Linked DNA regions of Elephas maximus indicus. The protein of the gene in region 3 purifies or fractionates together with the protein of the main gene of each other region. This does not show direct contact. Links are inferred from orthologs where the notes say so. Each region holds a gene or a part of one and is shown on either strand. Other genes may lie near its edges. The genes, in order: DOCK1, CAV1, RAC1 and NCKAP1.

Region 1 (7,912 bases), on a different chromosome or scaffold from region 3:
TCCTCATTTCCACCCAGTTCAGCTGTCTCACCTCCACCTGGTGAAGCTCTGAAGAACAAGCCCCACCCTCTCTACCTGTCACTCAAATCTCTCCCAGAATTTCCTGGCAAAACCATCTGGTATCGTTTTCTTCTGTGGCAGCTCGAACTTCTAAGAGTGAGTTTTCCTAAAACCAAAGTATTAGCAGAAGGTGTGATGTTAGAAATCACTGCTGTGAGTGCTGGAGAAGCTTCTGGAAGGTGTGTGACATGTCTCCCCTGTGAGAAGACCCTGCCTGCTCTACCTGTGAACACTCCCTTTAGACCCCACAAGGTCCTTCCAGTCACCCAGGGAGGCAGCAAAGGGTCTCAAAAGAGCACTTGCAAAATGTCGTGTCCTGAAGATAAGACCCTCGTCCATCTCCTGGTGAGCGCCAGACACAGCCGTAAAGAGAGGTGGTGAGCTCTAGGGCCAGCTGCCAGGGTTCAGATCCAGGACCTACCACTTACAGAGGGCCGTGGCGATTCAGTGGTAGAATTCTTGCCTCCCATCTGGAAGACCCAGGTTCGACTCCCAGCCAACTCTCCTCATGTGCATTGTGTATTCAGTGGAGGCTGGTGTGTCGCAATGATGCTGAACAGGTTTTGTTTCAGCAGAGCTTTAAAACAAAAATAGACTAGGAAGAAAGGCCTGGTGATCTGCTTCTGAAAATCTGCCAGCGAAAACCCTATGGATGACATTTGTCTGATCCACGACCAGCCGCGGCGATGGCGCAGGGCCGGCAGGGTTTTGTTCCGCTGGGCACGGGGCGGCCGTGAGCTGGGGCTATCTGGATGCCGCTACCACAATCACCACAGGCTAAGAATGGGTAAGAAATTTACCATCTTTGCCTCGGGCTCTGCCTCCACCTCCGGACTGAGGTGAGGTTTAAATTCTCTAAGATGACACAAGGGTTAGGCCTCCCCAGTGCCTGGCCCCCCAGGAGGGGTGAGTGACAGCTGCTTCCCGCTTGCACCAGGCCCTCCAGTCAATTCTGACTCACAAGACCCTAGAGGACAGAGTAGAACTGAAGGGTTTCTAAGACTCTAATCTCTACCGTGAGCCCTGTCCTCTAGGGCTGTCCCAGGCAGAATCTCCTCAGAGCAGATCTGGGAGTTTCCGTGAGGACGCCCCCAGACTGTTCAGTCTGGGGGCGCCCAGGGGGTGTGCGCATGCTCAGTCCACAGAGTCAGAAAGCTCCGCCGTGGCCCTTTGTGAACCAGTCTGAGCCTCAGTTCCCTCACCCCCAAAATGGGGTGACAATCAGCCCCCTCGTGAAGAACGAGCCCAGTGTGGGCCCAGAAGGCATGAGACTTGCTCCAGGAAAGGCCCGAGCCACTGTGCACACCCGCTCCATAACCACGGCCCACCGTTGGCCGCTATGACGGAGCAGATAAACTGGGGTTCACAGAGAGTGGGAAGCCCTGAGACTAGAGCCCTCACAGACTGCCCAGAGGTCAAAGGGCCCGGGCCTGAAGCCCAGCAGCAGGAGGCCTGGGCAAGGCAGTCAGGGGTGGGCAGAGCGCCTGCAAGAACAGGGAAAGGGCATGCTGCCGGCGGGCGAGGCCAGAGCTGCAGCAGAGAGCGTGCCCTGCTGGGAGCCCAGACCCTGTGGCTAAGGAGGCAAGATCACAAAGGTCTCACAAGGCAGAGGAGAAGACTGGCGTTGATGAGGCAAGGGATCGGGGACTTCCGTCAGGCAGACAGTGACATTGAACACCACAGGCAGATCTTGGGGTTGGGATCCAGACCGGAAGGCGCGTGGGCACGTCAAGAAGGCCCGGACCCACACGCCTTGGCAAGACCCAGCTGCAAATTCTGGAGAAGGGGCGGGCAGGCATAGTTTGGCGCGGGGTCGGCTTGCTTTGCCATTAAGAAAAAACTCGCTCTCTGGAATGTGTACTCGGGGTCCAAAATGTAAACTTGCAACCCGACACCCCCTGCCCCCCTCAGGAAACAGCAAAGTGCAGCGAAGCAAACACAGGCCTGCGCGCCTAATCCGGGGTCCAAGCCTCAGGGTGCTGGGCTGCGAAGCCTCAAGGGTCCAGCAGGGCCCAGTGCAGGGCCAACCAAATGGCGTGAAGCGGCCATCTGCCCGACAGGGTCGCGCACACCACTCCCCACCAGATGCGAGCAGAATTCTGAGTTTTGATCATTGCAACGTGAAACTGCCCAGCCGGGGCAGATACGGAACACAACTTCATCCAAGAAGCAAAAAAGGCGTCAGGCCAAAGACCCCGGAGATTCCCCGCAGAACTGACCGCTTCGGCCGCAGGCGGCGCGTATACCAGTGAGGGGGGGGCCCTCAGGCTGCAAAGTTCCACCACTGGGTGCCTGAGAGCTGGAGGTGGGGGAGGGAACACCCTCGAGGAGTGACACAAACTGCCCCAACCCTGCGGGCCAAGCCCGGTTCCCGGCCGGTCTACCGGGTCTAGGGGGGACACTGCACGACGAGGGGGCGCGGGAACGGGTGTGCCGGCCCCGGGATCCAGGTAGGGCATTGCCCGCCGGGGTGGCGCCGGCAGGCGGTGTCGCGGCACAAGCTCCAGACGGAAACGCCTCCTCCCGGCCACCCTGCATCCCGCCCGCTCCACTCGAGTGGGGAGGCAACAGGCTCCCGGGCAACCCCGCCCGCCGTCCGCGGCTCGCGCCTGATGGTCACCCCGGGCCGCCCGCCGCACGCCCAGGCGCCCGCCCAGGACCACCCGCCCCGGAGTAAGTTCGGGCAAGTCCCAGCGCGAGCTGCCGGAGCGGGTGCCGGCTCCCAGGGCGGCGGACGCGGGACGCGGGTCACCCGTGCGGCGGCGGGGACGCGGCGACCCGGGGGGCTCAGCCGGTAGCCGCCCGCGCCCGCCCGGCCTGCCTCGGAGCCAAGGCCCGCGCGAAGTTGGGCGGCGCGGTGCTCACCCACGCCATATTTCTCCTCTCTCTTGGTGGGCACCCAGCGCGTCATAGTGCCGCACGGGTCCTGGCACCCCAGGGGCGCGCGCCGCCGAGAGCCGCCGCCGCTGGCCGGACAGGAAACTCCGCGCCTAGGCCGCCATTTTCCATTCCTTTCGAGCCGCGGCAGGATGGGGAGGAAAAAGTTTGTGGCGGAGGCGGTGTCATGTGGGACGGGGCGGGCGGAGCGTCGCCGGCCGGATGGGAAAGGCCCGGAGCGCCGGCAAGAGGCGGGACGGCTGCGGGCTGCGCGCCGCCCTCACGCTCGGACCCGGGCCTCTGCCCTGCCTGCGCCCGCAGACCGGGAACGCAGGGCCGCCGCCCTGCCCGGAGCGCCTCTCCTGAACCCCACCGGCGCCCCCTGCGCCGCACACCGAGCCCCAACCGCTCCTCCTGCCCAGGGACCCAGCTTTATTCCTGTGGTCCCCCTCGTTCACGGCCCACAGACATTCCCAATGGAGCACCCCACGGGGCGTCTTCGTTTCATTCTTGGCTGGATTTCTTTGAATCAGCGAGCCTCCTGGAACTCTTACAAGGAGAAGAGAACTTCCTGAGGGACCGAGTGGAGGTGGGCTCTGAGCGGTTTGCACATGGGCGGGGGGGGGGGAGGCGGGGGTAGGCCTGAGCTGGATGACACAGTGTTTCCAACTGAGGTTCCCCGCCTTGGTGGAGAGTCCCCAAGCAGAGCAAAAGGAGTGGGCACCCTGGGAGGCACCTTCCAGAACACTTGGCTCATTCATTCATTGTTAGGTGCCCTCCATTCGGTTCCCAGTCATAGGGACCCTATACACAACATAAAGAAACCCTGCCCAGCCCTGCCCATCCTCACAATCTTTGCTGTGTTTGAGCCCATTGTTGCGGCCGCTGTGCCAATCCCTCTCGTTAAGGGTCTTCCATATTTTTGCTGACCCTCTACTTTACCAAACATGATGTCCTTCTCCAGGGACTGTTGTGACTCGTTCCTCCAAATAACGTCCAAAGTATATGAGACAAGTCTCACCATCCTCCCTTTTAAGGACCTGTACTTCTTCCAAGACAGATTTGTTTGTTGTTCTGGCTGTCCATGTTATAGTCAATATTCAAAGGCATCAGTTCTTCTTCGGTCTTCCTTATTCGTTGCCCAGCTTTCGCATGCATGTGAAGCAATTGAAAATACCATGGCTTGGGTCAGGAACACCTTAGTCCTCAAAGTGACATCTTTGCTTTTTAACACTTTAAAGAGGTCTTTTGCAGCAGATTTGCCCAATGCAGTACATCCTTTGAGTTTTGACTACTGCTTTCAAGGATGTTAATTATGGATCCAAGTAAAATCCTTGACAACTTCAATCTTTTCTCCATTTATCATGATTGTTGGTCCAGTTGAGAGGACTTTTGTTTTCTTTATGTTGAGGTGTAATCCATACTGAAGGCTGTGGTCTTTGATCTTCATCAGTAAGTGCTTCAAGTCCTCGTCACTTTCAGCAAGCAAGGTTGTGTCATCTGCATATCACAGGTTGTTAGTGAGTTCCTCCAATACCGATGCTCCGTTCTTCTTCATATAGTCCAGCTTCTCGGATTATTTGCTCAGCATAAAGATTGAATAAGTATGGTGAAAGGATACAGCCTTGAAGCACACTTTTCCTGATTTTAAACCATGCAGTGTCCTCTTGTTCTGTTCAAACAACTGCCTCTTGGTCTATGTACAGGTTCCTCATGAGCACAATTAAGTGCTCTGAAATTTCCATCCTTGTTAATGTTATCCACAGTTTGTTATGATCCAAACAGTCAAATGTCTTTGCATAGTCAATAAAACACAGATAAACATCTTCCTGGTATTCTCTGTTTTCAGCCAAGATCCATCTGACATGAGCAATGACATCAGCAATCCCTGGTTCCACGTTTTCTTCTAAATCAAGCCTGAATTTCTGGCAGCTCCCTGTCGATGTACTGCTGCAACTATTTTTTGATTACCTTCAGCAAAATTTTACATTCATGTGATATTAGTGAGGAGACCCTAGGGGCGTAGTGGTTAAGTGCTATGGCTGCTAACCAAAGGGTAGGCAGTTCAAATCCACCAGGTGGTCCTTGGAAACCCTATGGGGCAGTTCTACTCTGTCCTGTAGGATAGCTATGAGTCAGAATTGACTCAATAGCAACGGGTTTTTTTTTTTTTTAATAATGATATTGTTCAATAATTTCCTCATTCAATTGGATCACCTTTCTTTGGAATAGTCATAAATATGGATCTCTTCCAGTTGGTTGGCCAGGTAGCTGTCTTCCAAATTTCTTCACATTGACAAGTGAGCACTTCCAGTGCTGCATCCATTTGTTGAAACATCTCAATTGGTATTCCAGCGATTCCTGGAGCCTTGTTTTTCGCCAGTGCCTTCAGTGCAGCTTGGACCCCTTCCTTCAGTACCATCGATTCTTGATCATATGCTACCTCCTGAAATGGTTGAATTTCTTTTTGGTACAGTAAGTCTGTGTATCCTTTCCATCTTCTTTTGATGCTTCCTGTGTCGATGAATATTTTGCCCATAAAATCCTTCAAAACTGCAACTCAAGACTGGAATTTTTTCTTCAGTTCTTTCAGTGTGAGAAATGCTGGCATGTTCTTCCCTTTTGGTCTTCTAACTCCAGGTCTTTGCACATTTTGTCTTCTGGAACCACCTTGTGAAATCTTCTATTCAGAATCAACTCCATGGTAGTGGGTTTTTTTTTTTTTTCTTTAATTATTTTACTTCATCATTTCTTCCACTTGCTTTCAAAAAATAAAGAAAGAAAGAAACCAAACCCATCGCCATCAAGTTGATTTCGACTCATAGCGACCTTATAGGACAGAGTAGAACTGCCCCATACGGTTTCCAAGGAGCGGCTGGTAGATTCGAACTGCTGACCTTTTGATCAGCAGCTGCCGCTGTTAATCACTACGCCACCAGGCTTTTCATTTGCTTTAGCTACTCGAAATTTAAAGGCAAGTTTCAGAATTTCTTCTGACATTCATATTTGTCTTTTCCTTCTCTCCGGTCTTTTTAATGACCTTTCGCTTTCTTTATGTATGATGTCCTTGATGTCATCCCACAACTTGACTGGTCTTCAGTCATTAGTGTTCAGTGCATCAAATCTGTTTTTGAGATGGTCTCTAAACTCATGTGGGATATATTCAAAATTGTACTTTGGCTCTAGTGGACTTGTTTTAATTTTCTCTAGCTTCAAATTAGACTTCCATATGACAATCGATGGTCTGTTCTACAGTCAGCCTCTTGGCCTTGTTCTGACTGATGATATTGAGCTTCTCCATCATCTCTTCCCACAGGCATAGTCAAGTCGATTCCTGTATATTCCATCTGGGATCCACGTATTTTGTTGTTGGAAAAAGATATTTCCAACAAATAGGAGTTTGGTCTTGCAAAATTCCGTCATGGGAACTCCAGTGTCTTTCTGTGACAAACACTGAGTGCTCGAGTGCTAGGAGCAGAAGACAAGCAAGGCGTGAACTCCACCCCTAAGGCCAGGGTGTGTGGTGGCGGAGGGGAGAGGATGGGTAAAGTAACAAGGCCTGGATAAGTAAACACCACACACTGTCTTGATCCAGGTCAAGGTTGACTCTTAGTGGCTTGCAAAGATACCCAAAGCTGTTGGAAGATGGTTGGAGACACCGTGGCCCACCATCCTGCTGTGAGAGTGCCTGATACCTGCCGTCAAGGTCACCCAGAGCCAGGGAAATCTCAGCATTCCACCCAGAAGGCAGATTAAATAAACACACTGGAATGACTGAGGTGCTTTTCAGTGTTCACCGATGAGGGGAACCAGGCTGTGTGCAAGAAGATAACGTGTGTAGGATGCAGGAGTTCGCAGTAAAGCAACCACCAAGTCATACATAGTTACAGGCCTTGCTCGACTGATAAGGAACTTCAGTCCAACAAAGGGAAGGGGCTGGGCTCGCACCACACATGGTCTCTCTCACCCGCTTGAAGCCTTCTGTGAAAACAGAAACCTCAGGGGCTCAGGTCCTGAACCCACAGCCCAGCGACTGTGGTCCCTTGAAGGAGAAGCAGCGGCAAAGGTGCTACGCAGGAGAAGTAGGGTGCTCGGGGACAAATGATGTGGCCTCACCTAGAGGAGGAATGCCTCCTGAGGAGACGATCCAAGCACAGACTCTAACCATAAAGGGGAACTAAGTAGGTGAACAGGAACCCTGGTGGCTCAATGGTTAAGCACTCAGCTGCTAACCAAAAGGTTGGCAATTCAACACCCCCAGCCTCTCTAGGGAGAAAGGTGTGGCAGTCTGCTTCTATAAAGATTTACAGCATTGGAAACCCTATGGGGCAGTTCTACTCTGTCCTATAGGGTTGCTATGAATCCAACCTGATGACAATGAGTTTGCTTTTACTTTTTTAATTAGGTGAACTGATGAGGGGCCGAACAGCACATGCAAAGGCCCTGAGGTGCTATGGTGCTAATCTTTCAATGAGCTGAAAAGCCAGTATGCCTGAAGCAATGTTGTTGTTGTTGTTAGTGGATTCTGACTCATGGCAACCCCATGCGTGTAGAACAGAAGGAACCTCTGAATGGGTTTGAACCATCAACCTAGTAGTTGAGAGCTTAACCATTTGAGCCAAGCAGGGCAATAGGGACAATAAGACAATAGGAAAACGGCACAAAATGAGGCTGCAGAAGTAGGCAGACCCTTCTAGGTCTTGTTAAGAATTTGGGATTCTCCCAGGAATATGAGGAGGATATGAAATGTGTGACTAACTGCTTCCATGAAAACTGCCCCCTTTGCCATGAAGCCAGAAGTACTGAATGATCCCGGCTACCATTACTGAACATTTTGATCACAGATTTCATAGAAGAATCCCGATCGAAAGGGGGTAAAATACAGAACAGAATTTGAAACTTCCATGGATTCTGGACTTTCTGGAGCCGTTGGGTCTGGATAAACCCCTGAAACTATTGCCCTGAGATGATCTTT
Region 2 (6,932 bases), on a different chromosome or scaffold from region 3:
AGGACGGTGTCTTCATACTCCTACCAAGAGGTCAGGCCTTTCCTTGGCCCTCGATGTCCCTCAAAGAAAGCCCTCTGCCAAGGATGGCTTAGGCCCACGATTTCTCAATTCAGATAGATCCAGACAATAAATTCCTCTGACTAGATTTGCTAAAATGGGTCAAAGTTGAATAACATAATAGTAACCAAAAAACTGACCACTGAGCCAGCTATAAGTTTGCGCATAACTTATTCAATCTATTTTTAGTCTTACTAAACATATCCTGAAATTACAAGAAGGAACCCCAACCCCAGTATCCCCTTAGCTCAGGGCAGGCTGACCTGTTAGCCACTAAAGAAGCATCTTTCCATACCTAACGAGGGGTGTCTAGAGGAGAAATCAAGAGGTGCACAGTAGTTTGTTTTTGTAAAGTTGCTTAGCTGTGCACAGGCGCCATGCTTTTCTAGTTGAAATACCCTTCCCTCAATTATAATTATAAATGTAGTATATACAGAAATATATGTGTATGTTTGTATATATATGTGTGTGGAAACCCTGGCGGCCTAGTGGTTAAGTGGTAGCCAAAGGGTCGGCAGTTTGAATCCACCAGGTGCTCCTTGGAAACTCTATGGGACAGTTCTACTCTGTCCTATAGGGTTGTTATGAGTCGGAATCGACTTGAGGGCACTGGATTATATATGTGTGTTGTGTGTGTATATACGTGTATATATACGCAGTAATATATATATTTATATATGTTTTGTTTTTGGGGGGACCTATTTATATATATATATTTTTTTTTATATATTATTCCACTTTATTATTTTTAAGAAAATCACTTCAGGGTATTTAGCAGTGGGCTGCCCATTCTGTATTCTGCTCTCACCTTTGGCACATGACCTTACACAGTTATCTTACTACCTTAATTCCATGTTCGGTGGGTGTCACCCTTCACTAGATTGCACTAGACTCCGACCTGGAAATCGAGAGGGTCTCTTATAACGTGGCCATCTCACCTTCCCAAATAATCTGAGCCTGTCTGTTGCTGAGGTCAGGAGGCTATTTACCAGAAGAAAAGCGCAGTTATATGGGCTACAAAACTCAAGTTAACTAAATTCCAGCTGAACTAAGCAAGGCGGGGGGTGGTGGGGAGGGGGGCGGGGAGGATGTGACATTTCAACATTTCTAACAACCGCACGCGCTCCCACACATCCAGCCTAGAAAACGGCGTGTGTGGCAAAGCTAGAAAAGAACGCACAGGCTGATTGCCAGGGGTGGGCTGTCCAGGCCCTGACAGCGGCCCCTTAGGGACGTCCCCTCCCCTCTTGCCGCCTCCGCTTACCTTGACCACGTCGTCGTTGAGATGCTTGGGGTCGCGATTGACCAGGTCGATCTCCTTGGTGTGTGCGTCGTACACTTGCTTCTCGTGCATCTCCTCTGCCATGTCCCTGTTGTTGGGCTTGTAGATGTTGCCCTGTTCCCGGATGGGAGCGGTATAGAGATGTCCCTGTGGAGCGCGGACGGCCAGGAGGGAGAGGGTGGCACCAGTGGTGGCAAGAGAATTTAAAAAAGAAAAACAAGCGAGCAGAAGTTAACCTGGCTGTGAGGAAAACCTCGAGGATTGAAATCGAACTAACCGCGTCGGCAGCGGCGGCTCCGCGCAGAGTCAACTCTTTGGCGCCGCAAGCTTTTTAAGAGGATCCAGGCGAGGACACCACACCCCTCAGTACCAGGCAGGGAGCGCCAGCCTCCCCCGCCCGCCGCCAGGGGTCAGGGCGAACCCCACGGCCCGGTCCGCCGTGGCCCCCGCCCCGCGCGCACCCTGCGTGCAGTACCCGGTGGAGACCCCTAGCTGGGAGGGGGCCCCCCAGATCTCTGACTTGGCTCCAGCCCCTCTCCCCGTCACACCACCCTCGCCCCGAAGGCTTCACCTGCTCCAATGCCCTTCCCCAGTCCCTCCATAATCCCCGTCTCTCCATAATCCCTTCCAGTTTCATCCTTAAGAGTTTATCCTCATTTTCGTCTTCGCATTTTCGTTGTTTCCTGACAGCTCGCACCTGCCCACGTGCCCCACCCTACCTCTGCCCTCTGTTGACCCCCCCCCCAAGTTTTCCCCTTCCTTTATAGTGGTTACAGTCCCGTATCCCCTCGTCTCTGGGCCGAGCCACGTGCCGAACCCCCGAAATTCCCCATCCGAGCAACATCTCACTCGCACTCCTCCCCCGACCCACCCTCAGGTAACTCCTAGACCGCAGGCCTGTGACTGAACCGCTTGTGCGTTTGGGAAAACGAATTCTCCACACCCGGGAGGATGCGGGACGTGGGGAGGTGGTTGCAAGCGGTGGTGGTAGTGGCGGAGAGCGCGGTCTGCTCCTCTCCAAACACCCCTGCCGGGCGCCAAGATGCAGGAAGAGTTCTTGAGATAGCCCAAGAGCTTTGGAAAGTGCAAATACGGCAAGCGGTCCGGGCGCCTGGCGGGGACTCTCGGGGACTGTCCCCAGGCCTGCGAGTAAACGACCTCCTCCCGCCCTCTCCATCCTCCCGCCCAGTGCTCCAGCTCCCCGCCTCGCAACAGGTAGGGGCCGGTTCGTGGGGGCCCGAGACAAGGGAGCGTCCCAGACACATCCAGAAAATGCGTTCTCGGGCCGGCAGACTCAACCTCAGGACCCCGACCCTCTTTTCCGCGTTCCCCTAGCTCAGAGGCCCCGCTGCCCCCTGCCCCACAGGAAAACTTTCTTGGCTCCTCTTCGCCTCCCCCGCCCAGGTCCATTCCTTAGCCGTGCCAACGCGCGAGGAGTGCCCCAAAGTCAAGAGAGGGCTGGGGCTGGAAAAGCAGCTGGAATATGTGGAGTAGGACATAGCCGGCACAGGTACTACACGTGCGCCCCGCGCCCAGGACCGCAGCCTACCTCGGAATCTACGTATTTGCCCCCAGACATGCTGGCCGGTGGCTGGATGAAGGCTCTCAGGAGGCTTCCCTGGGCTGCGATTTAAGGGAACTGAGGAAGGAAGATCTTGTATTGTATAGAGGGAAAAAAAGGCACTGGCGGCGGGCGGTGGCTGGGAGCGCGCCTCCTGGCCGCGCGCCAGGAGTTTGTTCTGCTCGCGGTTGGCCAGGACGTGCGCGGCGCTGGGTCTAGGCACATCCCCAAAGTTCTGGCAGCAGAGGGCGGGGAGGGCCCGCAGGGAGCGGAGAGCGAGTGGGAAAGCTTGAGCGCGCGGAGGGCTGTTTGGGCAGATGTTTTAAACCTGGGGCAACATTTTCCTAGCTATGAGCCACCGAGAGGCATCTTGAGGACAGCGAATGCTTTCGCAGTGCATCATCCGAGCAAGGGTGGGGGTGCACGCAGCCGACCGGCCTGCAGAGATGCCCAGAATGGGCACTCGAGCCGTCGGAAGGAATTCTCCCCTCTTCCAAGCCCTTTTTCGCCTTGCCCACTTTTCATCGCCTCCTGAGAAACATGGCTCCACCATTCAGAGGAACGGGTGAAGAGTGGCTCGAAACCTTTAGGTGTATTTCACATCGAGACACAAGAAGGAATTTAAGTGGTGCACGTGTGTGTGCTTTTGGTGACACTTGTTTACGTCTAGGCGGCGTGGATAGCAACTTGGATAAACCGGCACGCGCAATTTGATGTTTCACGACCGCTTCTGAAATGTTTCCCAAATGCTTTGAAATGAATACAAATGTTTGACATTTCTCTAATTTTACTACTGCTCTTTTCTTGAACAAAGAAAATTCATGCCAATAGATTATGCCATATTTACAAAATATATACAATATTTAACGGTAAAGAAATGTTTAAAGCTTGGAATTTATTACCAGACAAGAATTTAAAAAAAAAAAAAAAACGTATCGGGCTGTGAGCTAGGGGGAACTTGGGTTTCCTAGTGTTATGGATTGCATTGTGTCCCCCCCCCCAAAAATGTGTGTCGTTTTGCCTAGACCATGATTCCCAGTATTGTGTGATTATTCACCATTTTGTCATCTGATGTGATCGTCCTTTGTGTTGTAAATCCTACCTCTAAGATTTTAATGAGGCGGGATTAACGGCATTATGTTAATAAGGCAGGACTCAATTTACAAGATCAGATTGGCTCTTAAATCAATCTCTTTTGAGATATAAAAGAGAGACTCCGTCAGAGAGACAGGGGATCTCATACCAACGAGAAGCAAGAGCCAGAGGAGCAGCAGTCCTTTGGACCCCATCCCTGCGCTCAGAAGTTCTAGACCAGGTGAAGACTGCTGACAAGGACCTTCCCCCAGAACCTACACAGAGAGAAAAAGCCTTCTCCTGGAGCTGGCACCCTGAATTCGGACTTGTAGCCTCCTAGACTGTGAGACAATAAACTTCTGTTTGTTGTAGCCGCCCACTTGTGGTATTTCTGTTAGAGCAGCACCAGATAACTGAGACACCTAGTAACTGATACGGGAATTTTTAAAAACTTGTCAGCAATTAAAATATTTTATCTGTCCCCCAATTGCGACTTCTCTTTACCTTATCATAAGCAGCACAAGATGAATTAAACTACTCCTCATTTTACTTTTTGGCTATAATAAGACAGGAAATAAACTATCCAAAAATGGAAAGAACTTTTTCCCTAAGGTTACATATGTAATTAAAAGTCAATTATATACGTGTGTATTTACTTCACGTTATAATTGACGTATACATATATATGTCGATTTTCACTTAAGGTAAAAAAGCTGGGAATACACCTAAAAGGTCACAGGTTAATTAAAAACACTGGCAATCTAGAAAGGTAAAAAAGCTGGGAATACACCTAAAAGGTCACAGGTTAATTAAAAACACTGGCAATCTAGAAAGGGGAATAAAGGAGTGGGCAAAAGGAGGAGGAGAAGGGAAGATACAGAATAGAATCATAACAAAGTAGATTATCTAGTTGGAGAGAAAAAGGTATGAACATATGAAAAGGAAACCATAAAGGACAGGCTATTGATGGTAGCAAAAAGACAACACAATATTTAATTAAAAAGATCTATTTCAACCAGGAATATTAGGCAAAGTGTCACGAATGTTGGCATGACTTTCGGTATGCTGGTTATTCATCACTAGAAGGCTGAAGATCTTTTAAAAGTTGGGTTTTCTTCATTTTATTTCTGCCAAATTGCATTTCTAAATTCTTTGAACAAATCATGTGTTAAAGAACATGATATGCTAGCAAAGGATGGTGCCAGGTTTAATATGCTGTGTAGTGACTAGTCTACCTCTACTGATTACTGTTGGCTTAACTCTTTCTTCATAAATATTTGCTACAAAACAGTTGGGGTTATGGTCTATGGAAAAATGTCCAAAGCATTTCCCATCTATTGTTACTCAGTCTTCAGCTGCGGATGAGTAATTTTGACCGTGGGGGGAAAAAATCAAGAGGAACACGGAGAGAGCTTGTCCTGCATTCCAGCAAGGAAAGGACTTTCTTGGGAGGCTGTTGAGTGAATGCTTAACCAGCACTCCACTGAGGGAAAGCCAAGCCTGCTGGGGTAAGTCCACAGAGACGGTGAATTAACAGCTGCAATCGTGATGATCAGTGAAGCGTTGTCAATGCCAAATGAATTCCTAATGAAAGGAAAAACCACAAACTCCTTATTAACCTGCCTCAACAAGAAGCTGGCACCAGAGAGAAACAGATCTAATTCTGGTTATAATAACAAACTTTGAATAATAGCTCCACCTTTATGAGAAAGAAAAGACGAAGAAGAACATTGTTAGCATGAGAACACCATTTGAAATGACTACATGATATAAAAAATAAAAATATTGTTTCTTTGATACTCACACAGATAACTGTATGCTTGGAGGTAAGTTAATAGCTTTCTCCAAATCATTTACTAAGAATTGGGTAGATGGCAACTCATTTCTCATTACTTTTTTTTTTTTAGAAGTAGGATTAAAGGTCAGTTCATGTATCAAAGTTTACGAGAAAAATGTAAGGGACACAGATCAGCTGGTCCAACCATCCTAGAGATGAGGAAAGTGGTATTGAAATATGTTAAACTGTTTGTTCTTTAGAAGGTTTATTGGGTAATGAAACATTTTAAAGTTGATAAATGACAACAGCAGCAGTTAACTTAAGGGATGTATTTGACTATGTACAGCAGTATAAATTTGATGATATTTAAATAGCACAGTAGTATAAATTTGACTGTATTCAAGTAGTATAGTCAGGGCAAAATTCTGACGTGAACTTAGCTGTTTTTGTGTTCTCTCATCTCCTTCTCTGAGCCCGCTTTCCCCCTGTCACGACTTCCTCTTCCCATCCTTCCCATCCTGAGTTCTTTTTTACTTTCCAATCAGTTTCCCTGGAGTTGGCTCCTACTCATGGTGACCCCAGGTGTGTCAGAGTAGAACTGTGCTCCACAGGGTTTTCAATGGCTGATTTTTTGGAAGTAGATCACCAGGCCTTTCTTCCAAGGCTAACCTCGGGGTGGCCTGAAATTTCCAACCTTTTGGTTAGCAGCTGAGTGTCCTTAACTGTTCGCATCACTCCTATGTTCAGCTAAAAAAAAAAAATGTTTAGCTAGCTTCATCTAATTCCCACTCTAGGATTAGGTGATAAGGAGTCCAAGTTTTGACCACTTACAATGGTATTAGTAGTTTTAAGAAACAGATTTCTTTCCAACAATTTCCAAATACGTTTTTGTCAGTTAGTCCAGAAAAGAGATTATAATAGGGGCTATCATGTGGAATGATAGGAAACACCTTTAATAACCAGTATGACAGAGCCACTGATCAGTCATTCTGGACTGTAGCTGTCTTGGAATCCTGCTGGCTAGGCATTAGTCCTTCCTTTAGTTGCTGGATCATGGGGTGCAGGGCTCAGGAGAAGGGCTGCAGGGAGGTGAGGCATTTTGGAGCAGTGACTGTTTACATGAAGGCACATAAATCTGTCCGTATTTTTACAACCTATGTGTTCAGCTGAATCTTTACTCT
Region 3 (7,503 bases):
TGAACATTTTCATTGATGATTTCCTCCTTTGCTTTCTCTGTGTTCTTTTTTTGTAGAACTTCCTATTATTAGTATGGTTGGACCTCCTGGGCTGTTTCTAATAATGTTCTTACTATTCCCTCCTCCATTTTTCTATCTTTCTGTCTTTTGGGTCTTTTCGGGAAATTTCCTCAAGTTGATGTTTCAACCTGTCTATTTTTTTCATTTTGCTAGCTTTCTTTTATTTTCCAAGAGTTTTTTTCCCCTTAATCTTCTGAATGTTCTTTTTTTGTAATACAAAAAAAAAAAAAAAATTGCCATAGAGTCAATTCCAAGTCATAGAGACCCCATATATCTTATTTAAATTATATTATTTTATCTGAATATTCTGATAGCTTTAAAAAAAAAAAAAAAGTTCTCTTCTCCCTGCCCTGTTTTTGTTTTCCTCAACTTTATTTTCTAGCTTCCCTTCTGGAGGATTTCCTGAGCTACCTGCTTAGGAGTACAGGCTTGCTGGTGATCCCTCCCCATATTGTATCTGTTTTTCCCGTCTGCGCAAGGCAGGTTCTCCAGAGAAGGGCCCTCCACACTCTTAGGGAAGGGTGTATCTCTTGGGCTTCCTGGAGCCATAGGGGCAAAGTGAAAGCTGGGAGGGACTGAGGTCTCTGCCTAAGGCTACTAAGTTCCTTTGTTTTTGTCTCATTATCTAAAGATTCCCTGGTTCATCTTGTTTTAGAAAGGAATCTCCAGTCTTTTGTAGAGGGGAGGGAAGGTGGCCCCTCTGCTTAGTGCATGGTGGGAGGCAAGGTAGGGGGCTCCAAGCTTCTCAGCTTTCGCCCCATCCTCCTTATCTTTCCCTTCATCCATAAAGACCCAGTGCTGCTGGTTTTGAGCCTCTGATTTTCTGCTACAGAGCTGGTGTGGATCAGCTTTTCTCACTACCAGTCTAGGTCTGTTTCAGGTGGCTAAGTCAGTTGCAACCACTCTGTCCCCTCATCTACTTATCTGGTTTCAGCTTCTGACATCAGGATGTCTTTTTCCCCATTCCCTGTTCCAAGATTCTTTCTTTCTTTCTTTTTAATTCCTTTATTGAAGTTCTTACAAGGTTTTTGGTGGACATGAAATTAGATCTCTGTGATCCACCATCTTAACCTGGAAATGAACTGCACTGTATTGTATATTTACTTGCCCATTATGCACCTCCCCTACTAGAATGTAGATTCTCTGATGATAAGACAGGGCTACAGCCATTTTCTTAAAATTGTTGTCTCCTCAGGACAGCCCCTCACCCAGCCCATTTCCTAAAGTTGTTTTTCTTCTCAGAACTTCTTTGAAAAGAAATAGCCACCGGCTAGCCAAAATCGACCAAAACAGGTCCTGCCCTCCATCTTGGCACTAGAGATAACCTTTAGCTCATTAACTGCCTCATGTGTGGTAAATTCTCTGCACCTGGGTTGAGAGCTAACATGCTAACAAACAAAAATGGCTAACTTCCTCCTCCATGAGGAATTGAACCCAGGACTTAGAAAATGCTTACTCATTTTAAAATGCTCTGTGCCTGCACCATTTTGTATTCTGAAACTAATCTTTCCTATATAAACCAGCCTTTTTTTTTTTAACAAACTGCCCGCCAGGCAGTCTTGGATGGCACAAAGTCGCGACTGTCTTCTTGCTTGCCTTTCCCTCTTCCCAACTCAGTCTCTGTGATTTTGGATGGAGTAGTGCTGAGCAGAACCTGGAGCTCCTAGCAACAATGGCAGGGCTCTGTTTTGTTCATTTCACACTTTCAACGCCTAGACAGTGAATGGAACAGAAGTGGGTGCTCAGGAAATGAGTAAATGAATGACCTTGAATGAAGGACCTAAACAGGGTACAGGATTCCATACACTTGATAAATGAGTTAACCAGGTAGCACGTTCAGAAACACGCATGGTCTAATTGAGTATTTATTTGCTTTTATTAATTTTAATTGGAACTTTTTTTGATCACTTGTTTCTGTGGGGAAAATTATAAGTAGATACTGAAGGAAAAACTTGGAGAAGGGTGATCACTGAGTTTTAAATTAAGAATGATTTTTATATGTGCACTGAACATTAGTTTGGTTGCTTCGCAGTCGAACCTCTTTATAGTGGACTTCTACTTTACCAATCTGGAGAAATAATAATTTGAATTTTATTGTGTCACTTCTTGAATTAATAAAATGAGGAATATAAGAATAAAGTCCAGATTCAATGCAGTTTGTCATCCAGCCTGTGAATACTTCTCTGGATTCGAGACCTGAACAGTGCAAACGCTTGTCTTCTCTGTGTCACATCTGAGGACAGCCTACTCTTCTGCTGGCCATGTAACCTATGAATAAAGTCCTCTCTGTGGAAAACTCTTTTCTTCTTGCTCCATCAATACCCACTAAAAATCCTATCCAAATCCATCTTCCAACTCTCAGCTCAACTGTCATCTCTTTGAAGAAAACCTTTTTGTAGGCATGAATATCTTTTCCATGCTTTGCCTTCTGATAACCACCATACTTGTAATCTACTTATAACAATGAGCACAGTAGGCCTGGTGTCCTGGCAACTATGTCTCTGTCTGGTTTATTTACTACCAGTTCATTACAAAACAACAGCACAACACTGATATTTCTTGAACTGTATTACTGATGAGTCCCCACCCTTTTATCTGGCCCTGGTAACACATGAAGGTAATCATGCTGAGTAGTTAGGTTTGTCAACTAGAAAATTTTTTCAGCAGTGACAGAAAACAGGATGTTGTTTCTCTATCACCTTTGAAATTTCAACTATTCCTCAAGGGTGATCTTTATGAACAGAGCAAAAAGAAGGTGCCCTTTGCCCTGGGAATATGTTTATTTTGAAATAATTGTAAGCCAAAAATGCTTTAAAAATTAAAAAAAATATATACTTGTATTCAAAGGGTCTGATTTCAGAAAACTGGTTCAATACTGGGCAAAAGAGTAAGTCATAGGGAAAGAAGGTCCTACTAAGATGAAAATACAAGTGGAAATTAACTTCTCTGGAGGGTCCACTCTCAAACAGTGCTGATAGGAGTGTAAACTGATTATCAGCTTCCAGGAGGGCAATTCAACTACATGTATGTATAAAAGCTTTAAAAACATTCACAGGTACTGACCCAGTAACTGCATTTATGGTAAAAGTAGTCATGCAAATGGTTAATGAGCTTGGCTGCTAACTGAAAAGTTGGCAGTTCAAGTCCACTCAGAGGCACCTCAGAAGAAAGGCCTGGCAATCTACTCCGGAAAAGTCAGCCCCTGAAAGCCCTATGGGGCATGGCTCTAATCTGACATACATGGGCACACATGGGACTGCCATGAGTCAGAATCGCCTAAACAACAACTGGTTACTGGTAGTCCAAAGAAATAAAACTATAGGAAAACATTCTTCCATAAACACGCTCATTCCAGCATTGTTTATAATAAAGATTAGCGACATTCCAACTGTCCAGTAACAGAAGAATTGGTTAAGTTACGTGGGCATAATAGAATAGCAAGCAGCCATTAACGATGTTCTAACATTGATCTCTCAATTTTATTAAAACCATGTTCTCTATGTACGTACGGAAGACCTGGCGGTGTAATGGTTAAGTTCTACGGCTGCTAACCAAGAGGCTGGCAGTTCAAATCTGCCAGGCGCTCCTTGGAAACTCTATGGGGCAGTTATACTCTGTTCTATAGGGTCGCTATGAGTCAGAATTGACCCGACGGCAGTGGGTTTGGTTCTCTACGTATATAAAAAATTAACTAGGAAATATACCGAACTTTAGTGCTTTGGTATAAAGACAAGGGCATTTTTGTTCAGTTTCATCTCTAGAACTTGGTACAAAACATAGGGCACAGTTGGCCCTCAATACATTTTAAAAATAATACAAGATGATAACACAGAAGAAGAAAATTAAACACTTTCTTTTGCTGAATGAACATGGGTTCTCTCTGAACACTGGTGCGGTGTATGTTTTGATATAGTTTTCGGTTCCGAATTTTCTAGAAAGACCTTAGGTGACTATCACAATAAAATGGATAATAAAAAGTGTGGGCTGGAATCAATACCCTTCAGATGACCTCGGACAGGAGCTGATCTGCGTAAGCGTGGCTCCTGGAACTCAGTGCATCTTTCAATGCCTAAATCCTGGGGGCTGTGCCGAGAAGAATCCCCCACTCCAAGGCCGGTCCCCGAGGCGCAGGGCGCCCCCACAACCTCGACCGGCCAGAGACAGGCTCGTGACCCCAAGATGGCAGCCCTCCCCGCAGCCGCCGCCGAGCGCTTCCGGGCGTTCCCGAGCGTCTCCGAAGCCAAGAGGAGCCCCGCCCGCCAAGCGGCCCTCTGAGGCTCGCCCTGCGGTCGCAGCCGAGCGCTTCCGAGAGCTTCCGGGCGTCTCCGAAGCCCAGAGGAGCCCCCCGGGAGCCGCGCGGGCGGGCCGGCGGGCGCTGCCCCGCCCCGGAGCCTGGGAGCGGCGGCGCCGGCGCGGGGGAGGGGAGGCCGGATGTGAGTGGAGCGGCCATTTCCTGTTTCTCTGCAGTTTTCCTCCAGCTTTGGGTGGTGGCTGCCGCTCGGCTCCGGCTCGCAGTCTGCTGAGCGCAAGGCGGCGTGGACAGCGGCCCCGGCACTTCGCGCCCCGCCGCCCGCAGCTGCGCGCCTGCCCGCCGCGCCCCGCGCCCGCCGCTTCTTGCTTCACCGCGCGGCCGCCGTCGCCTCCCCGCGAGCGGCCCAGATGCAGGCCATCAAGTGTGTGGTGGTGGGAGACGGGTGAGTGCGCGGGGCCGGGCAGGGCGGCCGCGGGCGGGGGTCGGGCCGCGGGCGGGGGGCGGCCCTGGCCGGGGAGGCCGGAGCCGCGGGCTCGCCTAGGGGCCGGGCCCGGCCTCCCCTCCCCGGGCCGGGCGGCGGCGGCGCGGACCCCCTCCCCTCTTCCCGGGACCGGGCTGCGCGGGCCTGGTTCCGCCTTTTTTTGTACGTGGAGGAGGGAATGAGCGCCGGCTGGAGGGAAAGTGAACTCCACCCTCCAGCTCCTGCCCTGCTCCCGGGCCCGCGGTGGGCGCCGGGGCCGGAGTCGCCGAATGCCCAACTCCCCTCCCAGCGCTGCTCCCCACGCTCCCCTTACTTGCCTGTCGGTTAGGTGGGATTTAGAGTCGCCTTTTAAAAAAAAGAAGGACCGTCGGCTTTTATAGGATCCTCTCGTGCCCCATGCACCCCATTGAGCGCTTTCGTGGGCAACAGTGGCCAAGTTAATAATGTTGGATGAATGTTTTCCTGGGCGGGGTTGGCGACCCCAAACTTCTTTGTGATGAGATATCTTCGACTTGCGCTTCGCCGGTTCTAGGGCTTTTAGATGATTATTTTTGCTATTTCTTAGAGAAACTTTTTAAATATATTTCATTTCATTTTGTTGTTGGGAATGTGCGCAGAGCATTCATCAATTCACCAATTTCTACACGTCCCATTCAGTGACATTGATTACATTCTTCGAGTTGTTCAACCATTCCCCCCTCTCCTTTTCTGAGTTGTTCCTCCCTCGTTACCATAAACTTACTGCCCCCTAAGTTTCCCATCTACTCTTTTTGTGCTGCTTTTGTCAATTTGCTCTCTGGGAGAAGCGTTTAAGATTTTAGCTGTGAAGAAAGGAGCTGGGTGTGATTAAGATTGTTCCCTTCGTTGAACATGATGTGGTCCCCCCACCAGAAAAAAAAAAAAAATTGGCCTTCGCTTAATGCGTTAGGTATGGGGTGTAGCAGAACAGGCTGCCAGAGCGGAGCTGCCCTGTGACTCAAGGCATTTCTTTTCATTACTGTCTGGGGGGGTTCCAGGCCCTAGAGGAAGACAAGACTTGTCTTATGCAGGTTTTTTTTCCTCCCATAGAAACAAGACTCTCAGTATAATCCGAGCGGTGTTGTGCGTCTCAGCCTCGCTCGTGTAGTTTGGTGTTAACAGGGAAGCTTGAAAACTCACTACCAGTTTCGTCACGTTCAGAACGCAACTGATACATTCTCAAGTGTGTAGAGTCGAAGGAGACGTTCTGGAGTCACTGATCTTTTAATTAGCGTGCTTCAAACTTGTCATCAGTACTGATTGTGCGTGTATGCCTCTAAGTGAATTTATTAATTCTAAGTTTGACATTTGAAATGATCTCTGTGACAATTGAGATGCAAGAACAATTAGACATTTGATTGACTTGTCGGACTTAGAGGTGAGAAGGGTGTTAATACTTGGTGGTTCTATACATATAACTGAAAATTGTTTCTCTCACTTAAGAATTTGTAAAAATTTTTTGTTTTTCTGTTTTTAAACCTTTTAAAAGCTTTAAGGCCCCTGCGTGGCGTAAACGGTTTGCACTCAGCTGCTAAGCTAAGGGTTGGCCAGTCAAACCCGCTCAGCAGTACCTCAGAAGAAAGGCCTGGCAATCTGCTTCTGTAAATATTTCAGCCAAGAAAACCCTATGACGCAGTTCTACTCTGTAACACATGGTGTCACCCTGAGTCGGAACTGACTCCACGGCAACGAGTTAGGTTTGCTTTCTGTCATTTGACTAAAACACGTTCAGTTAATTGGCTTAAGTGTGAGATCAATAGATTCAGTTAAATGAAGTTTTGATATTTGCATAATGAATTAATTAAACATGTCACTTTTTCTTAGGAACATTTTTAATTATCTGAATTTCCTTTAAAAGTTAGAAATGCTAAATCTATAATGCCTACGACAGCCAAACTCATTGCCACTGAGTCGATTGTTACTTATAGCGACCCTATAGGACAGAGTAGAACTGCCCCATATGGTTTCCAAGGAGCGGCTGGTGGATTCAAACTGCCAACCTTTTGGTTAGCAGCCATAGCAGTACCACAGCTCCCAATACTTTGAATATGAACTAATACATAGTATTTTTTTAAGTCAATGAATTGCTGATAATTCCATATTCAACCATAGGATGTAATATTCTTACCTTAAAATATCAGAAGGGAAACCATAAGTGCTAGCAGATATGTTTAGCTACTATTTGTATTGACTAGTTTATAGTCCAACAACTTATTGACTGCCTACCATGAGATCTGAATCCTCCCTTCAAATCCCTGCCCACCACTTATGGGGTAACCTTGAGCAGATCATTATCCCCCAAGAGAGGTGCCTCAAGGGGAAGTCTCGCGGATTAAACAAGATGCTGTATATTAAGTACCTCCCAGGTGCCTGGCCCCCGGGTGAGTGCTTAGTAGTGCCAGCTTCCATTATTCTTATTTTTGCTGCTTCTGTTACTGTGAGGCACAGCTAGGCTCCGTGAGGGAGTGCTAGGCATAAAACACAGTTCCTGACCTGAGTTTTCAATAAGCCTTCTAATGCTGTACTTGGTATTCTCGATGTTGTAGTCAAGAAGCAATATTAGGCTAAGGCTGAGCAACATTAGAAGTGAAATGTACCTTTACAAAAAACTGAAGCTGTATTACTTGAAATAAGGACTGGTAAGGAGCAAATGGAAACCCTGGTGGCGGTAGTAGTTAAGTGCTGTGGCTGC
Region 4 (7,055 bases), on a different chromosome or scaffold from region 3:
GACCTTTTAGTTAGCAGCCAAGCTCTTAACAACTGTACCACCAGGGCTCCATGAGCATTAAAGCATAATATTATTGTCTAGAGTAACTTATAAAAGTGTTATTAGACTTAGGTCACTGAAGTTTGCATTTTTCATTGTACATGCTCGCTAAAATATTTCCAGAGTAGACTTTCAATTGGAGTGAAGATTAATCAAATCTGATAGACAATCTAATGTACATATGCATTAATAAAAGAATGATAACTGAATGGCATGTATATAGGGTGGTAGTTTTTTGAAGACTATAAAGGTTGAGATTGAAAAGATTATGTGGTTTATACTGTCATAAGAATGCAGACAGCATGAACACATGGTGGACACATATTACTGTTTTTGGCAAGATTTTGGAACAAATGTTTCAATCCCTAGCCAGCTGAGAAGATAAGCTGGCCTCACAGGCAACTCTAGAGGCTAAAAGATCCAAAATTTCTTTAATGCATTTATATGCAGTTACACAAGGAGAGCAAACCAAAATTATTATTATTGAAATGTGGGCAAGGTATATATATTTTTTGTATTCATTCATTTCAACAAGGCCTTAAAGGCCTCAGGTACCAAGTGAGACCCTAAATACCAGTAGTTTAGGGATGAATAACACTGTCCCTGCCCCAAGGGAACTCACGTTAAGGCAAGGTAGATAAAATATTTCCCAATGAACTACAAATATGTGCTAAGTGCTGAAATACAACATTTCAAAAACTCAAGGTATTTGACACATGGATATAATACTGATCACATTCAACTTATTTTAAATCTTGCTACTTCAAGAGCCTAAAGTTTCTCAAAACAGGAAGTAAAAAAAAAAAAACTGCTTTTGAGAAAAGACAGTGAACCGTCATCTGTTCAGATCTTTAGATTTTAGTTTACCCTTACCTAATTTACTATGGTAGAATATGGTAAGTTTGCTTACATTTATAATATAAAAATGTTTAATGTATGCTTTAAAAAAAAGTGTTTTGCCCAAATACCAAATCACTTTTGATGTTACTCTCACTTCCTCTTCTGGAAACCATCATAACCATTTCCTTTAACCACAATACCACAGGTCTAGTAACTTTACTGAAGTTTGAATTGCTAGTTGTTTGGACAAAGTTTGTATTGGAACCAATTTCTGAGTTGTCTAAAAAGTATAATCTCACAAAACATTCAAGTCAATGCAACCTACAAGTAATACTATCTAAAATTAAATTATTCCTAACGTACATAAATTTATAACCAAGGCATCTTAGTAAATGCAAAGGGCTTCTTTGTAATGACACTATGCCCCAGTCACATAAAATGTAACAAACCGCACAGGTAGACTGCACTGGGTGCAGAGTCAATCCTTGCATCCTTGTGAGCAACTGGAGGACCATAGCAATCCTTATCCAAAATTTATCGTAACTACAGCAAAACCATCTTTCCCTTTAGAAGTAGACTATCTACCTCAAATTTTATACCTGAACCCCATGATGTGAATTTTGAAAAACACAATCTTTCTTCAGCAGCCAAGACTCACAAAAGCTGCGATTCTACTGCTACGATTAAATAAAATATTCGTGGTACTTTAAAAAGCCAGCAAAAATAACCATGAAGATAATGACACCAAATACACACTGGAAACTCAAAGGCTCTAGACTGCAAACAAAATTGCTCTTTAATTTTCTCTTAACCACATTCATTAAAAATTACCAACCTTACCTTTAAAAAGGAAAAGGATTTTTGTTGTTTTCTCCTAAGATAAATGAATGCAATATTTGCTCTACCATTACATCTATTTTTCTTAACTACAATTCAACCTCCCATTTCTTAAATTTGCTGAAGACATGTAAAGATTTTCAATGAGTCTATTAGCTACTCAAATTATCTGATTATGCTATAAATCTGCAGAATTCACAACATATTTACATTTTTATTTGGTATAGACACCACAGTCTAAGAAATGGTGTTTTAACATTATCAGATAGGGCTGGAAAAATTCAGATGAGGAGGAGTAAAGGGGGTAGGGAAAGAAGGTTGTTATTCCTGTTCTAGTGACTCACAGCCCAGAAGTATTTGAGAAGAAAATTGGTTCCACCCTCACTTCCCCCTCCTCTCCACCTTCAAAAAATGAAATAATCCCAAATCGTCAACAGCCTCTCAAATGGTTTTTATTCAGCAATCTCAAATAAACTGGCAGAGCAGAAAGAATGTAGGTTAATGTTGATTAGCCATTCATTCCTTTCCCACATTCCCACACACCAAGAAATTGAGAGGTGGGGTGTAATCCCCGTTCACTGCTATCCCCGCCAGATTTCTAGGGTTTCGTCTGTTTTGGAACACCCAACTTTTCCTATTCTCCGAAAATCTAGCCCACCCATCTCTCTCCCGTTCCTGACGACCCCGTCCAGGGGGCGGAGGCGCGAAGAAGGGGGCAACGGCGCCCCCACCCCACGCCAGGGCCGGCGCCGGATCCTGCCGCTGGGAAGTGGGAAATGGCTTCTCCCTGCCTCCGGTCGGCCCGCGAGCCACCGGGAGAGGCTCCCGGAACTCCCCGTTAGGCCGCGGCACATCCCGGCGACTCCGGGCCGGGCCTGACGCGGCGATGCTGGATTTCTGCCCGCGGCGCCGCCCCGCACCCTCCAGGCCTCCCCTACCCTCCATCCCTCCTCGGCCCTCCGCCCGCCGCGGCCTCGCCGGCCCGTGCGCACCTTCTTGATATTGTAGAGGCGGGTGAGCATGCCGACCCCCCGGTCGTTGAGAATGGTGAGCTTCTCCGCCAGCTTCTGCTGACTGGGCTGCAGCACGGAGCGCGACATGGTGGTGGTGCCGCCGCCGCCGCCGGCCTGCTGGCGCCCGGTCACTGGCCCGCGGCCTCCGCAGTAACCTCTCTTCGGCCTCCTCCTCTCCCGCCCGCGACCTCCGCCTCAGGGAAGCGCGTCCATGGCCCTAGCGTCCCAACCCCGCGCCGGTGACAGAGCGAGCCGCGGCGGACGCCTTGGGGTCCCTTCCCCCGCAGCAGCCCGCGCCCCGGCAGCCTCCTGCCTTCCGCCCGCCGCCCTTCCGTCCCCACCCCCGCCGCCTTCTGTCCCAGCCCCCACCAAGCCGCCTTCCCCGACTCCTCCACTAGGTGTGGCGGCGGCAGCGGCGTCTCCGGCGGCTGAGAACGAGGCGGCTTCCCGCAGCCCCGGACGGGCGCTCGGTCACCTGATCGGCCGCGCCGGCGCCCCCGCGAGGACGGTCGGAGAACTGCGCCAGGCAGGCCCTTGCCTACCCCGACAGGCTTCCAAGTCGCAGCCACTCTGGACCCGGACCCCACCTGAACCCGACTCGCTGCCTGCGCCTATTCCCCAAATGTGAGTCCTAAGTGGGGACCGAGTAGGGTCACGTTTCTCTGTGCGTCCCGCCGCTTCCAGCACCCCCCAGCCTTCAAGTTCCTAAAGTGGCAACATAAGTTGTCTTTCTGCGCCATCGTCCTAAAGAAACCAGAAGAAGTAGGGGGGCGGGGAGGAGTCTCAGATGAGCTTCTCCTGAGAGTGGGCTGGTGGCTCCAGGCGCCTTTCCTCCCACTGCTTGACAGACGCTCACCGCAGAACACAGCAGATGTTGTGTTCCGCGAAGCGGCTTCGCCTCTCCCAAGCTCCCCATTCCATCCTAACTCACCCCCACACCACCCCTGCCCCAAGCAGTTTATGCGGGAGGAGATCGGAAGTGAGGACAACTCAAGTTCCTGAGATAATCAGAATCTGGAATTTGTCCACGAGAAACACGTGGGTGGCACAGAATAAATGTTTATTCAGTGGGTGAAGGAACGCTCCCATTTTTTCCTGGCCTCCACCCTAAGTCCGACCGCTTTTCAGAAACTTTCTACTTTTCCATCTCTCTGTTTCTTTTTTTTTCCTGGCTAGTTTCCTAGCCACACTTCAAGGCTACTATTCCCTCTGGTCAAATATATCAGATACGGTTTCAAAAGTGAACAAATCAAGGACTTATGTAATTGGCTGGGATGAGGATTCAAGCCTAGAGAAGTAGAGCCACTTTGATGATTTTGGCCTTACTGCCCTTCCATGTATCAATCTTTTGCATTATTTCATTAGTTTTAAGCCAATGACAAAATATTCTGCTAACTTCAATAAAAGAGTAAATAAGTTATCATTGGGTTTATCAAAACACTTTATGAAAAGGAAATTGTGATGAATAGCTTCTTAAACTTTTTTTTAAAGCTAATGTATCTACTATACCTATGGAAATCCTGATTTTAATACCCCCAACAAATGAAAGTGAGTAGACTAAATGGACTTTTTTTGTTGTTAGGAACCATGAGTCGGTTCGGAGACTCATAGGACTTGTTTTCAAGGGCATTAAAAAGAGCCCTGTACCCACCAAGTACAAAAATACATAATGGTACCTACCAGTGTGCTTGGAATTCTATACTTAGAGCTGCATTTTTGTACCTGAAGAGTTTTGTTTTTTTTTAAAACAAACGTCTCAGAGATGCCACCTAATGCACTGTTATAGGTCATTAACGTGTTGTTCTTGTTAGGTGTTCCTCCAGTGGATTCTGATTCACAGAGACCCTATGTACAATAGAAGGAAACACTGCATTTGAACCACCCTCACAATCGTTGCTATGTTTGAGCCCATTGTTGCAGCCACTGTGTCAGTCCATCTCTTGAGGGTCTTCCTCTTTTTTGCTGACCCTCTACCAAGTATGATGTCTTCTCCATAAACTGGTCCCTTCTAATAACATGTGCAAAGTACAGGAGACAAAGTCTCACCATCCTCACTTCTAAGAAACATCCTGACTGTACTTCTACCAAGACAGATTTGTTTGTTCTTCTGGCAGTAGATTCAATATTTCTTGCCAACACCATAATTCAAAGGCATCAGTTCTCCTTCAGTCCTCCTTATTCATTGTCCAGCTTTTCCAGGCATATAAGGTGATTGAAAATACCATGGGCTGGGTCAGGTACACCTTAGTCCTCAAAGTAACATCTTTGCTTTTTAACACTTTAAAGAGATGTTTTGCAGCAAACTGGTCCAATCCAATGCCCAATGTTTGATTTCTTGACTGCTGCTTCCATGGGTGTTGATTGTAGATCCAAGTAAAATGAAGCCCTTGACAACTTCAGTCTTTTTGCAGCTTATCATGATGTTGCTCATTGGTCCAGTTATGAGGATTTTTGTTTTATGTTGAGGTGTGATTCATACTGAGAACTGTAGTCTTTGATCTTCATCAGTTAAGTGCTTCAGGTCTTCTGCGCTTTAAGCAAGCAATATTGTGTCATCTGCATATCGCAGATTGTTCATGACTCTTCCTCCAACCCTGATGCCTCGTTCTTCATATAGCCAGTTTCTCAGATTATTTGCTCAGTATTCAGACTGAATAAGTATTAATGTGCTGGGATATTTAAATTATCTGGTTTCTTTCAACCTGATATTTAAAGTTTTAATTTAGAGAAAAGGCAATGATCTGTAGCCTGGGATAACAAGAACAGACCTTGGAAGGGGATGTTGCAGTGAGGGGTTTGGAGCTGCCAGATAAAACTGAAAGGTGCCAAATGTTGTGGAAAGACTGTGCTCTTTTATAGCACCACAAACAGTTTTAGTAGAGACATAATAATGGAGTTCCACCAGTGCAAAGTTATCTAATTTTCTAGTTTTTTCAAAGTACTGTACAGAGAGAACATGAAAATGGTACTGCATCCAAGGCACAATTAGTCTCTATTCACCTGGAGCAACAGAGAAGGAAGGTCAGGAATAGGAGGAAGAAATGGCTGTGTGGATAATTGCCTCTGTGAACAACTGCTTCCTCTGCTATGAGACCAGGACTGGATGGTGCCCAGCTACCATTACTGAACATTTTGATTAAAGAGTCTATAGAAGATTCCAGAAACCCTGGTGGCGTAGCAGTTAAGAGTTACGGCTGCTAACCAAAAGGTAGGCAGTTCAAATCTACCAGGAGCTCCTTGGAAACCCTATGGGGCAGTTCTACTCTGTCCTGTAGGGTCGCTATGAGTTGAAATCGACTCAATGGCAATGGGTTTACAGGTGTAGAAGAATCCTGGCCAAAAGAGGCAAAATGCAGAACAAAATTTTAGATTATCATGAAATCCAGGCTTTCTGGAGCCATGGAGGCTGGATGAACCCCTGAAACTATTGCCCTGAGATAATCTCTAAACCTTAAACCAAAAATATTCCCTGAAGTCTTCTTAAATCAAACAATGGTTTAGCTTAACTAATAAAGAATGTCTGCCTTGAGCATTATGCTCTTTTAGATCTATGTATATGGGATCAAACTGACAACAGCATCTTGAAAAGATTAGTTAGGAACCTTAAGGGGCAGTGAGTTTAAGTTAATGAGGGAGGAACAACTCAGAAAAGGAGAGTGAGAATGGTCACACAAGTCAAAGAATGTAATTAATGTCACTGAATTGTACATGTAGAAACTGTTGAATTGGTGTATGTTTCACTGTGCATATTCTCAACCAAAAAATAATTAAAAAAGAAGAAAATGGGAGGAACCAGTACCATGGTGTCTGGCTGCAAGATTGTCCTGTCCATCCTCAACAGCAGCCTGGCCAATTTAGCGGTGGAGTGCCTCCAGATGCTGGACTCTGGAGCTGATTATCTGCACCTGGATGTAACAGACAGGCATTTTGTTACCAGCACCACCTTTGGTCACCCTGTGGTAGAAAGCCTCCAAAAGCAGCTAGGCCAGGACCCTTTCTTTAACGTACACATGATGGTGTCCAGGCCTGAACAGTGGGTAAAGCCAGTGGCTATAGCAGGGTCCAATCAATATACCTTTCATCCTGAGGCCACTGAGAACCCAGGAGCTTTGATTAAAGACATTCGGGAGCATGATATGAAGTGTTGGCCTTGCCATCAAACCAGGAACTACAGTTGAGTATTTGGCACCATGGCCTACTCAGTTAGATATGGCTTTGGTTATGACAGTGGAACCTGAGTTTGGAGGGCAGAAATTCTTGGACAACATGATGTCAAAGTTACACTAGTTGAGGACCCAGCTCCCATCTTTGTATAATCAAATGCCT

The links.
Region 1: the proteins of RAC1 (region 3) and DOCK1 purify together in Homo sapiens (pull-down; 6 studies listed by BioGRID and IntAct, with this or other methods). This does not show direct contact. The link is inferred for Elephas maximus indicus from reciprocal best matches to the Homo sapiens genes RAC1 and DOCK1.
Region 2: the proteins of RAC1 (region 3) and CAV1 purify together in Homo sapiens (affinity purification with western blotting; 4 studies listed by BioGRID and IntAct, with this or other methods). This does not show direct contact. The link is inferred for Elephas maximus indicus from reciprocal best matches to the Homo sapiens genes RAC1 and CAV1.
Region 4: the proteins of RAC1 (region 3) and NCKAP1 purify together in Homo sapiens (pull-down; 4 studies listed by BioGRID and IntAct, with this or other methods). This does not show direct contact. The link is inferred for Elephas maximus indicus from reciprocal best matches to the Homo sapiens genes RAC1 and NCKAP1.

The regions. Positions count from the first base shown.
Region 1 is NC_064834.1:76,807,439-76,815,350, reverse strand, and holds the start of DOCK1 (dedicator of cytokinesis protein 1), read right to left. Parts: upstream 2,972-7,912; coding exon 2,926-2,971; coding exon of another isoform or gene 2,787-2,925; intron 2,734-2,786; coding exon of another isoform or gene 2,454-2,733; intron 2,301-2,453; coding exon of another isoform or gene 1,972-2,300; intron 1,776-1,971; coding exon of another isoform or gene 1,688-1,775; intron 1-1,687. Other genes in the region: translation initiation factor IF-2-like, read left to right, coding at 1,688-1,775, 1,972-2,300, 2,454-2,733, 2,787-3,526, 6,254-6,259. UniProt on the Homo sapiens protein: Involved in cytoskeletal rearrangements required for phagocytosis of apoptotic cells and cell motility. Along with DOCK1, mediates CRK/CRKL regulation of epithelial and endothelial cell spreading and migration on type IV collagen.
Region 2 is NC_064826.1:33,195,061-33,201,992, forward strand, and holds the start of CAV1 (caveolin-1), read right to left. Parts: upstream 3,013-6,932; 5' UTR 2,919-3,012; coding exon 2,889-2,918; intron 2,409-2,888; exon of another isoform or gene 2,211-2,408; intron 1,487-2,210; coding exon 1,322-1,486; intron 1-1,321. UniProt on the Homo sapiens protein: May act as a scaffolding protein within caveolar membranes. Forms a stable heterooligomeric complex with CAV2 that targets to lipid rafts and drives caveolae formation. Mediates the recruitment of CAVIN proteins (CAVIN1/2/3/4) to the caveolae.
Region 3 is NC_064830.1:100,915,346-100,922,848, reverse strand, and holds the start of RAC1 (ras-related C3 botulinum toxin substrate 1), read left to right. Parts: upstream 1-4,482; 5' UTR 4,483-4,719; coding exon 4,720-4,754; intron 4,755-7,503. UniProt on the Homo sapiens protein: Plasma membrane-associated small GTPase which cycles between active GTP-bound and inactive GDP-bound states.
Region 4 is NC_064824.1:81,383,282-81,390,336, forward strand, and holds the start of NCKAP1 (nck-associated protein 1), read right to left. Parts: upstream 2,941-7,055; 5' UTR 2,817-2,940; coding exon 2,709-2,816; intron 1-2,708. Other genes in the region: nematocyst expressed protein 3-like, read left to right, coding at 2,941-3,353. UniProt on the Homo sapiens protein: Part of the WAVE complex that regulates lamellipodia formation. The WAVE complex regulates actin filament reorganization via its interaction with the Arp2/3 complex. Actin remodeling activity is regulated by RAC1.